Linked DNA regions of Caenorhabditis elegans. The protein of the gene in region 1 purifies or fractionates together with the protein of each later gene. This does not show direct contact. Each region holds a gene or a part of one and is shown on either strand. Other genes may lie near its edges.

Region 1 (7,697 bases):
AGAAGTGAACGAAGAAGATGCTGGCAGAATTGAGCACGGAATTGGCGCGTTCGGCGGGAACAAAGGCACTGGATATGGTGAGTTGAAAGAGGGGAATGTGACGTGGTAATAAACGCAAAAAGCTGAGTAAGATAATCTTAAAAGTTTTCCTACATACAATGATTTCATAGACATTCGAAAAAGTATATAAATTTTGTAGCTAGCTAACTTTACGAAAAAATCACAATATTTCAGGTCGAGTCCCATCATCTTGCTGTAATGAGCATGGAAAGCTTTCCTACCCAAATAACTGTGGAAGATCATTCAGCCAAGCTCCGCTCAACACTTATGCTCAATTTATCAATACACGGGTGAGATTTTCAAAAATATATTGATAAAAACAATGTAAATATTCAGTGATTTATTAATTAGTTTTGTTAATCTAACTTTCAAATAAATACAATCAAGTTCAAAACTTTTACAGGGATGCGCCGATGCCGTGTACGAAAGCGTGAGCAGCTCATTGAGCTTGATAGTAGGAGTTTGTGTGGTTCTTTGCATTGTTCAACTCCTTGGAATTGTGTTATCTATGACCTTATGTTGTTGCAAAGGCAATTCTAAAAAATAAACGCCTTTTTTGTTTATAGATGTTTTTTAATGAATAATAAATGTTTTTCTCTCTGATTTATTGGAATTTGTAAAGATAAATAATCGAATGACAAACAACAATTCTTTCAGATTGGGTAGAGTTGATGAAGAGTGGTTGGATAAATATTTGTGAAACAATTAAAGTCGAATTTGCAATAATTGACTTCTCAGGAAAGGAGTGTAGTGAATGGAGTAGCTTGATCAAAAAATCAATTGAAGGAGTACGAATTATTCAGGTCGATAAGATTGAGATCGGGGAGAGGATTTTTTCGTTTGAAATTAAAATGTTTGTTGTCAAAATATATTAGTGAGTTTTTTGTTTTTTTTTGCATTTTTTACGGTTTTTCAGGGGTCTTATAGCACACACGCGCAGCTTTTTTTTTGAGTTATTAGTCGGGTGTTTTAAATTTTATGATAAACTCAGAAAAGCTTAGGATAATAGGTTTTCTGGCACCCTGCTTCCAAACATCACAATAGTTTTTTTTGTGGAAAATTCTGCGTTTTCCAATACTTTTTGACTAGATGGTTGGAAAATAACCAGAAACGAAAAATGATAAATTCTCAATTAGTGTAAAGCCATTCAAAAATAAAAAAGTTATGAAAAATTTTATAGTTTAAAAAAATCAAAAGAGTTTTCAGCGAATCTGTGTTATTCATTATTTTTGAATTCAAAATAAAAACATTTAACTAAATTTTTTTGCGATTAAGATTAAACTACATTCTGGTTTCTGAGTTTTGCAAAAATCCTCCTTCTATAAATAAAGAAACAATGGCTTTCCAATATATTATTGCAACACAGTGCAAAACTTTTGAAGAGCATAGAGACTATTGGTTTTGCAGTTGAAAATGAGCAAGACTAAATTTCAAATAATTCAAAAGAGCAAAACAACCAAAAAATGCTTCAAAAATACGAAATAATCGCATAATTTAAAAGTTAGAGAAGGTGAATTAAAGTCTGGAAAAATGTTGATAGAAACTGAGTCCCATAAAGCGCTGTATGAGAATTATTAGCGCCGTGATGCAATTTTGACGCCCTGGTGGCAGAATGTAACAAAAACACATCGGTCATTTGCCATGCATCTGTATGTATTTGAATTAAGTCGTTGGCAAAACTTGTTCGATTCCAAAATGTGTAGAGCTGTGTCCCCTTCAAACTTGATTTTGGATTTCCAGTCTTGACTGATGGAGGTTATAGTAGTCTCCATGTAGAGCAACTTCTGAATAGTTAGGTAATTTAATGAGAAACAGATTGAAGCATTTGATGAGATTTTTATTTGAAGACAAAAGGGTGCAACTTCTCAATTTTTTTTCAGTTTTACTGCTTCAAACAAGGTTGCCATAAGATCGCCGCGCCGGCCTCACGGCGTCACTCACGTCGCCTGTATCCAAATGTATAGTGCGACGCGGAACCCCGGCCGCTTCCAAATAACTCTTTTTTGCACTACGTTGCGCACACATCAAGCTTCTCGTTTCACGCCAAGCTGCGGCACCCCGAACGTGTCGGCCGCTCCTAACAAATACCTGTCGCGCTTTATTGCACACACACAGCGGCGCACGGCGTCGGCGTGAGGCCCCCATTTCGCGCCTCGCTCAGCTGGGAGCCCTACTCTAAACATTTTTGGAGTGTTTTTTTTAAAATTATAATGGGTCGTGTTGGTCAGTGCATTTTGACTTAATCCTCACTTATGATATTCACCCCTCATTATCATTACTTATATATAAAAAAATACATGAGGGATGTTACAATTGTAGTTTGTAGTCTGTGACGTCACACCTGCAAGGTGTTTCCGGCTGTTGAAGGGATTGTGGGTTGGGGTTAGTGGTGGGATATGGTCGGGATACTGTAGTAGTACTGTAGGGGTACTGTAGGGTTACTGTAGGGTTACTGTAGTTTTGGAAAAATTGACTTTTTGTCTTTTGAAGTGATATTGGTTTGAGGTTAGTGGTGGGATATGGTCGGGGTACTGTAGTAGTACTGTAGTAATACTGTAGGAGTACTGTAGGATTACTGTATTTTTGAAAAAAATTGGCTTTTCGTTTTTTGAAGTGATATTGCTTTGGGGTTAGTGTCGGGATATGGTTGGGGTACTGTAGTTGTACTGTAGAGGTACTGTAGGAGTACTGTAGGATTACTGTAGTTTGGGAAAAATTGACTTTTCGTCTATTGAACGGATATTGGAAACTTTGAGAAAATTCCGGAATGCTCCAGAACCTTCTGGAAAATTTGAGAAAATGCTGGAATGTTCCAGAACCTTCTGGAAAATTTGAGAAAATTCTGGAATGTTCCAGAACCTTCTGGAAAATTCGAGAAAATTCTGGAATGTTCCAGAACCTTCTGGAAAACTTGAGAAAATGCTGGAATGTTCCAGAACCTTCTGGAAAATTCGAGAAAATTCGTGGTGAGACCCTTCGTGGTGAGACCCTTCGTGGTGAGACCCATCTTGGCGAGACCCATAAGTTTTGGCGGGAAATTCAAATTTTCTGATAAAAAATTTTGGCGGGAAATTCAAATTTTCTGAGAAAAATTTTTGGCGGGAAATTCAAATTTACTGAGAAAAACTTTTTGGTGGGAAATTCAAATTTTCTGTGAAAAATTTTGGCGGGAATTCAAATTTTCTGTGAAAAATTTTGGCGGGAATTCAAAATTTCTGTGAAAATTTTTAGCGGGAATTCAAATTTTCTGTGAAAAATTTTGGCGGGAATTCAAAATTTCTGTGAAAAATTTTGGCGGGAATTCAAAATTTCTGTGAAAAATTTTGGCGGGAATTCAAATTTTCTGTGAAAAATTTTGGCGGGAATTCAAAATTTCTGTGAAAAATTTTGGCGGGAATTCAAAATTTCTATGAAAAATTTTGGCGGGAATTCAAATTTTCTGTGAAAAATTATAACGGGAATTCAAGTTTTCTGTGAAAAATTTTGGCGGGAATTCAAATTTTCTGTGAAAAATTTTGGCGGGAATTCAAATTTTCTGTGAAAAATTTTGGCGGGAATTCAAAATTTCTTTGAAAAATTTTGGCGGGAATTCAAAATTTCTGAAAAAAAATTCTGGAATGTTCCAGAACTTTCTAGAAAAATCGGGAAAATTCTCGAATGTTCCAGAATTTTCTAGAAAATTCGAGAAAAGTCTGGAATGTTCAATTCCCTGAAAAAATTCAAGAAACTTCTGCGAAGTGCTAGAATCTTTCAAGTTTTGATACTCCTAGAATATTCTGAAGTTTTAAGAATTAAAAAAAAAACCAGAATTTGTTATAGATAATTTCCAAAAACGCTCGCCAAAAACTTTCGGAAAGGACCTGAAAAAGTCTCATAAAAGTTCCAGGAAACTTGAGGTTTTAAAATTGTAATTGCTTAAAATTAAGTATATAATATTTATGTTGCTCGAAAACTTCCGGAAAACAAGGAAAAAAACGTTCCATCTGCAGTGAAATGCTTAGAAATTTCAGAATTTGATTTTAATTTTGAGTACGCCAGTCGGAGCACGCGCTTCAGCGCGTGCGAACGGCTGGTGTATTTAAAAAATAAATAAACATACCTTGACATAATCTGTAATTTCCTGTGGTGTTAAAGCAAAAACTGTGGCATCAACTTTTGCACAATTATAGAAATGAGTTATTGGGCACGTTATAAGAACTCCTTTCGTTTTTAGACTAGATTTGTTTCCCCAATGAACAGTGTTCATAATTCTTCTCATATCCATCTTCCGTTCATGTTTTTTCACAATGATAGACAGTTCAAATTCTTCGTTTGGATCTATGTATGGCAAAATCAACATAATTTCCTTTTCTTCAATTTCCACCATTTTCAATTGTCTCAGTTCCAAATTGAATGGATACATGGCCCAGAGCATTTTTTGGAGTTTCTCGAAGAAAGCGGATCTTGTTGTCTCTGGCAGATTCTGTTCAGCTACTTCAACACGTAGAGCATTAACTTCCAATTTTGGTGCATCACATATTTCTTGAAAGATGTCCAAAGCCGCGTCTACGTAATTTTTTGCAGATAATTTCTGGAAAGGTTCTCCTTGTTTTTGAATTTTGCATTTCTTGGCGTCTACATGATAAAAAGCCATAAATTCCTTTGTTTCATAACTTCCATCTCTGCTCACATTGATTTCTACGAAATTGCGACCCAAACACAAACTGATTTTCTCAATTTTTAGTGGAAGTACATAACTGAAATTTTATGTAGATAAAGTTGTTCTGAATCGTCATTCACTTACTTAAAATTTTCGGGCATTCTCCTGTGTATGTGATGTTCTTTCGGTTCTGGGAACAGTGAGCTACTGTCGAGACTGAAAATGAATTGGGTTACAAAATTTTGAAGGATGAAGACTAGGACATCTAAATTACCTTTTTTTTCAAAGTTGCACAAAAGTGTCAATTACAGTGTAATTCATCTCAACTAAAAATTCAGCGTTTTCATGATTAAACGTAATGAAAAAAACAAGCAAAAATAATTTGGAAACTGACCCAGAACGCAAAAAAATGAGTTCCTAGACAAATGTCATCACTAGCTTGGTCATTACCTTCAACGTCATTATCTGGGACGTCACAGAAAACAATTCTGGCGTAAACCTCAATGTTTCCGAAATTTTCGCTTTGTTTTGCTAATTTTTGCTTTCCGTTTGTGGTGAGACCCCTTGTAAACAAACCCTTTCGGAAAGAAACTTTTTTTGGGAAGAAACTAAGCTTGAGCCTGAGCTTAAGCCTAAGCCTAAGCCTCAGCCTAAGCTTAATCGGCCAACAGGAACCGCCTCAAAAATCAAAAAAAAAAACCGGAAAATCCTAAGCCTTCATAGCGTGCGCTCGCCACTGACGCCAAGCCAATGTTTGAGCCTAAGCCTAAGCCAAAGCTGAACTTTAGCCTAAGCCGAAGTTTAAGCCTAAGCCTAAGCCTAGGACAAAGCCTGAGCCTAAGCCTGAGCTTAAGCCTAAGCAAACGTTTAAGCCTAAGCCTACGCCTATGCTAAAGTCTAAGCCAAAGCATATGCCTTAGCCTTTATCATATGCCAAATGGCAGCACACGGTTTGGCGTTCTAAAACTACTTCTAAAGTTCATAAAAATCAAAAAATACCATACCAAGTGTTTCGAAACACCTCCTCGAATCCACGGGTTCCTTGTTTGTACCAATATTCGACTTCTTCAATTTGAAGATCTGGGAACGCATTCTTGAGTTTTTGAAAAGCATATTGAGCGGGCTGCTTATTTTGAAATTCATTAAGAATGGAGAACCGTCTACACAGTTTCTCAGTATTCTCTCTATCCATGTTGACTTCCTGAAAGTTGAAATTCATAAATTTACTCATAAACGTCAATGATAAGCTTTTGAGCAGAACAAAAAAAGAAACAAGAGCTCACAAAACTGCCTGGCAACAATGTGCGTGGGGAAGAAGAAGTGATAGCTGAGTGCGCAGCACTAGTTCAATCGTGTTTCGAATGTAGATACTGGTAAGAGAAGGGAGGGAAGTACGGCTTACAATGTTGGAAAAAAGATAATAATAGGTAGACATTTGTAATGAGCATGTGATATGAATCGGAAAAAAATAGTGTAAGATACTAACAGCCAACTTTCGGATGTGTGAAAAGTGTATTTATTGTCAGCAGACTTTCCCACAAGTAATTGGAATAAAGGCGTACATCATGTCGCATTAGTTTATTGGCTGACCTGTAGCCGCTAATCCGAAACATACAAACAAAAGAGGAAAGTAATAGTGGTGACTTTCCAGATTTATTGGCAATATTCAGAAACAAGGACCCGGAGAATGTTGGTTTGTGTCAGAAAATGATTATCAGTTTTCTCCTCAGACCTGTCTAGCTGCGTGGGCGTCACTCAGTTTATGGATGATTTTGACAATGTTATCAACGATTATGTGGAAGTGCGAATCTACGAATACACTGTTTATCATAGAAAACTTAATGGAAGAAGATTTTGTTTTGCTGGTTACCTTCTCTGTAGAATTAAGATGACTCTTCAAACCAATCTTGTATACCCTGTTTAGTAGAATCCAATCGCACCTCATGTTGTTCTCCTTCGCTTTTTTGAATCTGGTATTAGGATACTCATACTTTTCAGGCTTTTTGGGAAAATTACCAAAACTAATTTTTATACATCCAAGCATTGATATGAGATACTTGAATTGTCATCTTTGTTGGTTTCTTCTTGTACATTTCTGTTCAACTACCCCCAATGGCTGATTGCAACTTGGAGCCTACTTTTCACCTATAATTTTTACACACTCTTTTTTTTTCCTTTTTTCTTCCACTCCAAATATTTGCATACGAAGTACATCTTCACCCATCTGCTTGTTGGCGGTCAGACGCGTCGAATTTTGAAATCACAAAGCAGAGTCTCCACTGATGCCGATTGATTTTTCACTGTGAGAAAATATCACATCAGATAAGAGACCACGGTTTATAGACAAAGAAGACAGAGCCCGGTGCCCAGCTGCGCGACGCTCTGGAAACCGAGTCGTGATGAAGAGATTTACTCACACAATAGGTTGTGAGTATATTTGGAAGGCGTCGTCCTGTCTAAAAATCGCCTAGCAACTGCATTCGTGGGAAGTAGGGGATAGCCAACCTGTGTGTGTGTGTGTGTGTTTGCAGAGAGCCTTTTTGAGTCACAAGACAGAGAGGCACTCTGATAGAAGGGGAAGCAACGTATTCCAAAGACAAAAAATATAACAATAATTGAGAGACATTGGATAATGTGAAAACAGAAACGTGCGAGCGGGCGAGAAGATATCCTTCAGAAATTTTTACAAATGGAAGTTAGGGATGAAGTAGTAGTTTCAATAAGAAGGACAAAATATTCAAGTGTATCGGAACCATTCAGTTTGATTCATAGTTAGATTATGTGTACGGAGCGGTCATACTAATACGGTTGTGCTTTTTCAAATTTCCAAACACATATCGATAAAGGAAACAGCCATAGCTGTTTTTGGAATCTGAACAATTGTTATCTCAAAATTATGCTATCACTAATAAGTCGAGAAATATTAAATTAAAATTTTAGGAACAATAAGAACAACTAAAATTAGAAATTAGCCAAGGAGCATGGAAAACATATTTTG
Region 2 (4,993 bases), on another chromosome or scaffold:
TTTTTAACTATTTTTGCGTTAAAATCATTCAAAATTCGATTTAAAAAATGTGATTTTCTTTCAATTTTTTTTTTGGAAATCGGACTTTTAATGTAAACTTTTGGTGAATAATTGTAATTTCAAAAAAAAAAACGCAGAGTTCGGAGAAAAAGTTTACTTAAAAAATTTTATTTTCTATTTCAGCAGCTATTCAGCATTTTTTTTTTTCAAAAAAAAAATTACGGAGATAAAATTATTCGGCTTTTATAATTTTATTACTCAATCCCGAAATTTCACGATTTTTGCGCCCGGGTCTCGACACGACAAATTGTTGTTGAATGCGAAAAGGTGTGCGCCTTTAAAGAGTACTGTAGTTTCAAACGGAATTTTTTATCGATTTTGCGCATAGATTTTCACACGATTTGTTAAAATTTAAGCGGTTTATTTCAGTTTTTCTAATAAAAAGCATATTTTTTAACGAAAAACTGAAAAAAATTGGATGAAATTTGAGAAATTTTCATCCATTTTTTTCAGTTTTTCGTTAAACAAAAAAACTGAAATAAACCGCTTAAGTTTTAACAAATCGTGTGAAATTCTATGCGCAAAATCGATTAAAAAAATCCGTTTGAAACTACAGTACTCTTTAAAGGCGCACACTTTTTCGCATTCAACAACAATTTGTCGTATCGAGACCCGGTACCGTATTCTTTGAAAAGCTTGGCTCAAATAATTTTAAATCCGTAATTTTTTTTCAGTAAATTTTTTCTCCGATTTCTGAGTTTTTTTTTTCGTTGAAAATTACAATTTTTCACTAAAAATTAGCATTAAAAGTTCGATTTCCAGGAAATTTTGTACAATTTTTTCTTCAAAAAAGTTTTTTTTTTCCAGAAGCCGCCAAAGTCCGTGTCGAATATAATGGGTGCAAAATCGATTCAATGATGTTGGCTGATCGAATCAATGAGAAATATTTGGAGAAAAATGCCTATAATCGAGTGGATCTTTCATATATTTTTGCGCCAATGATGAAAATTCAATGAATTTATTTTCTTTTTTTTTTGAAAATTTCCCCCCAGTTTTGCGATTTTCCCGTCTTTTTTATGTCGAAATTTCTAATTTCCTAATTTTTTTCACAAGTCATTTCCTCCTCCTCCATTTTTCCATTTTCTCCTAATTTTCAGTGAAAAATTCTTTATTTTTCCCCAAAAAAATATTCCCGAAAATACTCAAATCATATCTGATAAACAATCGAATCCTGTGTTAATTCTCCCTTTTTTCACTGAATTTTTGGAGTTTTTCCATCTCTGAAAAAATTATTTCAATTTATTATAGTATTTGTGTCGACTTACGGGGAGAATTTGAACATTTTCGCTATTTTCAAATTTTCTATGCAAAGTAATTTATTTTATTGTAAAATTAAAATTTTTGAGCAAAAAATAACACTTCTCCTCGAGGAGTACACGAAGGCTGCTGCGTAAATCGACACAGGGGTTGTCGATTTACGAGGGATAATGTTTCGGAAACTGAAATTTTAGCCAAAAAAAAAGTCGAGATTTTGCAAAAAAATTGAACTCAAACTTGTCCACGTGTAGTTCAAAATCCGTCGTAAATCGACACATGCATAAAAACCGTGTGTCTATTTACGCAGCTGGTGTACTCCTCGAGGAGAAGTTTTTTTTTTTTAATTTTTCAGTCACGAGCTCCGTAAATCGACAAAATATGATATTTTTTTCTCGAAAAATTTGAAAAAAAAAACTTTCGAAATTTTCAAAACTTGAAAAATGTCAAATTTCAAAGTTTTTGAGAACAAAAATATTTTAATAAATATTTTTAAATTCAAAAAAAATTAATTTTTCGATTTTTTCAGTCAAAATTTGAATTTTTTTTCGAGAAAAGTTTGAAAAAAATCAATTTTTTTCCAGATGGACGAAACCCGCTTCGAGGATGACGATTTCGAGGGTTCAACGGCCAATAAAAAGTACACATTCTTCATAATTGACGGAAATCCGGCAATGTTCGAAACGTCGAAAGCCGGTGAGCCGCCAGAGTTCAAGCTTGCTCTGAAGCTCATTCTCGACGAAATAGTCCGTGTTTGCTGCTCGCGGAGCCTTAACAATCATATCGGAGTGATTGTCACTAGTACTGTACGAGTTTTTTCTGAAGAATTTCTGAAAATTTAATAATTTTTTAATTACAGAAAAACTCGGAGACCGAGGGACTCGAAAATAGCACTCTGCTTGTGCCGATGGGTGTTCTTGGACAGGAAGAAGTGAATAAGATTAAGGAAATTGCGGAGGAAGGTGCGGAAATCGCGGACAATTTCTGACATTTTCGTGGTTTTTTTTCTCGGCATTCGTCGTCTTTTGGCGACTTGGCACAATTTTCGCAGTGAATTAGGCAAACTTCTAATTTTTCAAAATCTCGACAAATTGGCAATTTCCAGTTAAATTTCGAGTAAAATCTACAATTTCAGAATATTATACGCAATCTGGCAATTTTTTGGCAAAAAATTGATTGTTCTTTTGACTTTTGGCAGAATTTCGGTAGATCACCACTTTTTTGAAAATTCGAACGATTTTTTTCCGGCAAATAGACAAATTGTCGGAATTGAAAATTTCTGGCAAATTGCCAAATTGCCGGACATGACAATTTCTGGCAAATTGCCAGAATTAAAAGTTTCTGGCAAATTGCCAGAATTGATTGAAAATTTACGGCAAATTGCCAAATTGCCGGAATTGAAAGTTTCCGGCAAACCGGCAAGTTGCCGGAAACTTTCATTTTTGGCAATTCGGCAACTTGCTGGAAATTAAATTTTCCGGCAATTCGGCAAACCGGCAAATTGTTGGAAATTAAAGTTTCCGGCAAATCGGCAAAATGCCGGAATTGAAAATTTCCGGCAAACCGGAAAATTGTCGGAAATTAAAGTTTCCGTCAACTCGGCAATCCGGCAAGTTGCCAGAAATGAAAATATCCGTCAATTCGGCAAACCGGCAACTTGCTAGAAATCAAAATTTCCGGCAAATTGCTGAAAATGAAATTTTCCGGCAAATCGGCAAGTTGCTAGAAATTAAAATTTGCGGCAATTCGGCAAACCGGCAAGTTGCCGGAAACGAAAATTTCCGTCACGGCAAACCGGCAAATTGCCAGAATTGAAAATTTACGGCAAAACTGCAAACCGGCAAGTTGCCAGAAATGAAAATTTCCGTCAATTCGGCAAACCGGCAAATTGCCAGAAATGAAAGTTCTCGTCAAAACGGCAAACCGGCAAGTTCCCATAAATGAAAATATACGGTAATTCGGTAAATCGGCAAATTGTCGGAATTTAGTTTCCGGTAAATCTGCAACTTGCCGGAATAAAAAATTTCCGGCAACAATTCGGCAAACCGGCACATTGTCGGAAATTAAAGTTTCCGGCAAACCGGCATTTCCGACAATTTGCCGAATTTGCCAAACGGCAATTGCCGTCCACCACTGCTTTCGACAAAACAATTTCCGGTATTTTTTTTTCAAGAAATTGGCAATTTTCGACGCCAGAACTTAGCTTTTCATAAAGAGCGGCCTGAAATCGTGTAGGCCACGCCGCCTAGAAAATTGGCAAAACAATATTTCATAATAACCTAATTTATTTTCAAAAAAAAAAAAGGTTTTTTTGTGAGATCTCTTCAATTTTCAATTTCTCATCCATCACCACCACCACCACCACCTCAATTCGGTTTCCTCATTCCGGCCTTTATCTCCCGCATCAATTCATCTTGCCACATGGAATGAGTCTCCTCAATTGTCTGAATACTTATCGCCAACTCACGCATCCGATCACAAGCCACCTCAAACTCACGAGTGGCATCATCAAACCGAGTCCGATTGACGTCAGTGTCGTTGCTGGCGTACTTGTTCGCAGCACTATCCATATCGAGACGTGTCTTATTCAAATTGGCAATTGTATTTGTGTGAAGCTTACTCTCGTTCTGTGTGAACGCCTTGTACCGCTCACAAATCGCCAGCACCTTATCCATCGACTCGACTTCTGCCTCCATCCGCGTGTCGACACAATTGATGAACGGTTGCACGTTGATACGATCTCCGAGCAGAGCATAGTTCTCCAGTGGGCCTGAAAAGTTGGCTTTCACTTGCCAATTTGCCACGTCGTTCAGATTTGCCATGTGCTTGTAGAGATCCTGGACGCGGGGCTTCAGAGATTTGAAGTAGATCAACGCCTCGTCGATTTCGGCGGGAAGCACTGTCGCCTTGCTTCTGCCCGTCTTTTCTTTCACTTTTTGCTTTAGTCGACTGAACATTGTTGAACAACTCACGCACACACCACCGAGTCGAAATTTAGGAATAAATTGAATTTTGAATTTTGTCCGCGGCGTTTTTTTTTTTTGCTGTTGGAATTTTGAAATTTCCAACGTGGAATTTTGGGATTTTCACGGAAAAAAATTTGATATTTGAGTTTTGTTCAAGTTTGAAAAAGTTAGAAAAGTTTCAATTCCGGCGATTTGCCGGTTTATCGGAAATTTGCAATTCCGGCAATTTGCCGGTTTTGTCGATATGCCGGAAATTTTCATTTCCGCCAATTTGCCGATTTGCCGGAAATTTTCTACTCCGGCAATTTGCCGGAAATGTTCAATTCCGCCCATTTGCCGGTTTGCCGGAAGTTTTTAATTCTGGCAATTTGCTGGTTTTCCGTAAATTTTCCGATTTGCCGGAAATTTTCTATTCCGGCAATTCGCTGGTTTGCCAAAAATTTTCAATTCCGCCAATTTGCCGATTTGCCGGAAGTTTTCAATTCCGACAATTTTCCGATTTGGCTGTAGATTCCATTTCGGCAATTTGCCGGTTTGCCGAAACTTTCAGTTCCGGCAATTTGCCGATTTGCCGGAAATTTTCTACTCCGGCAATTTGCCGGAAATGTTCAATTCCGGCAATTTGCCGGTTTGCCGGCAGTTTTCAATTCCGGAAATTTGCCGATTTATCGGAATTTTTAATTCCGCCCATTTGCCGGTTTGCCGGAAGTTTT

The links.
Region 2: the proteins of F33C8.2 (region 1) and cku-70 fractionate together in Caenorhabditis elegans (co-fractionation; one large-scale study listed by BioGRID). This does not show direct contact.

The regions. Positions count from the first base shown.
Region 1 is NC_003284.9:14,719,592-14,727,288, reverse strand, and holds F33C8.2 (DUF38 domain-containing protein), read right to left. Parts: upstream 5,892-7,697; coding exon 5,704-5,891; intron 4,916-5,703; coding exon 4,844-4,915; intron 4,797-4,843; coding exon 4,160-4,796; intron 1,845-4,159; coding exon 1,635-1,844; 3' UTR 649-1,634; downstream 1-648. Other genes in the region: tsp-8 (Tetraspanin), read left to right, coding at 1-77, 235-350, 464-607.
Region 2 is NC_003281.10:11,152,929-11,157,921, forward strand, and holds the start of cku-70 (Ku domain-containing protein), read left to right. Parts: upstream 1-1,898; coding exon 1,899-2,120; intron 2,121-2,173; coding exon 2,174-2,276; intron 2,277-3,680; coding exon of another isoform or gene 3,681-4,271; intron 4,272-4,993. Other genes in the region: pola-1 (DNA polymerase), read left to right, coding at 868-1,016; Y47D3A.31 (BAR domain-containing protein), read right to left, coding at 3,681-4,271.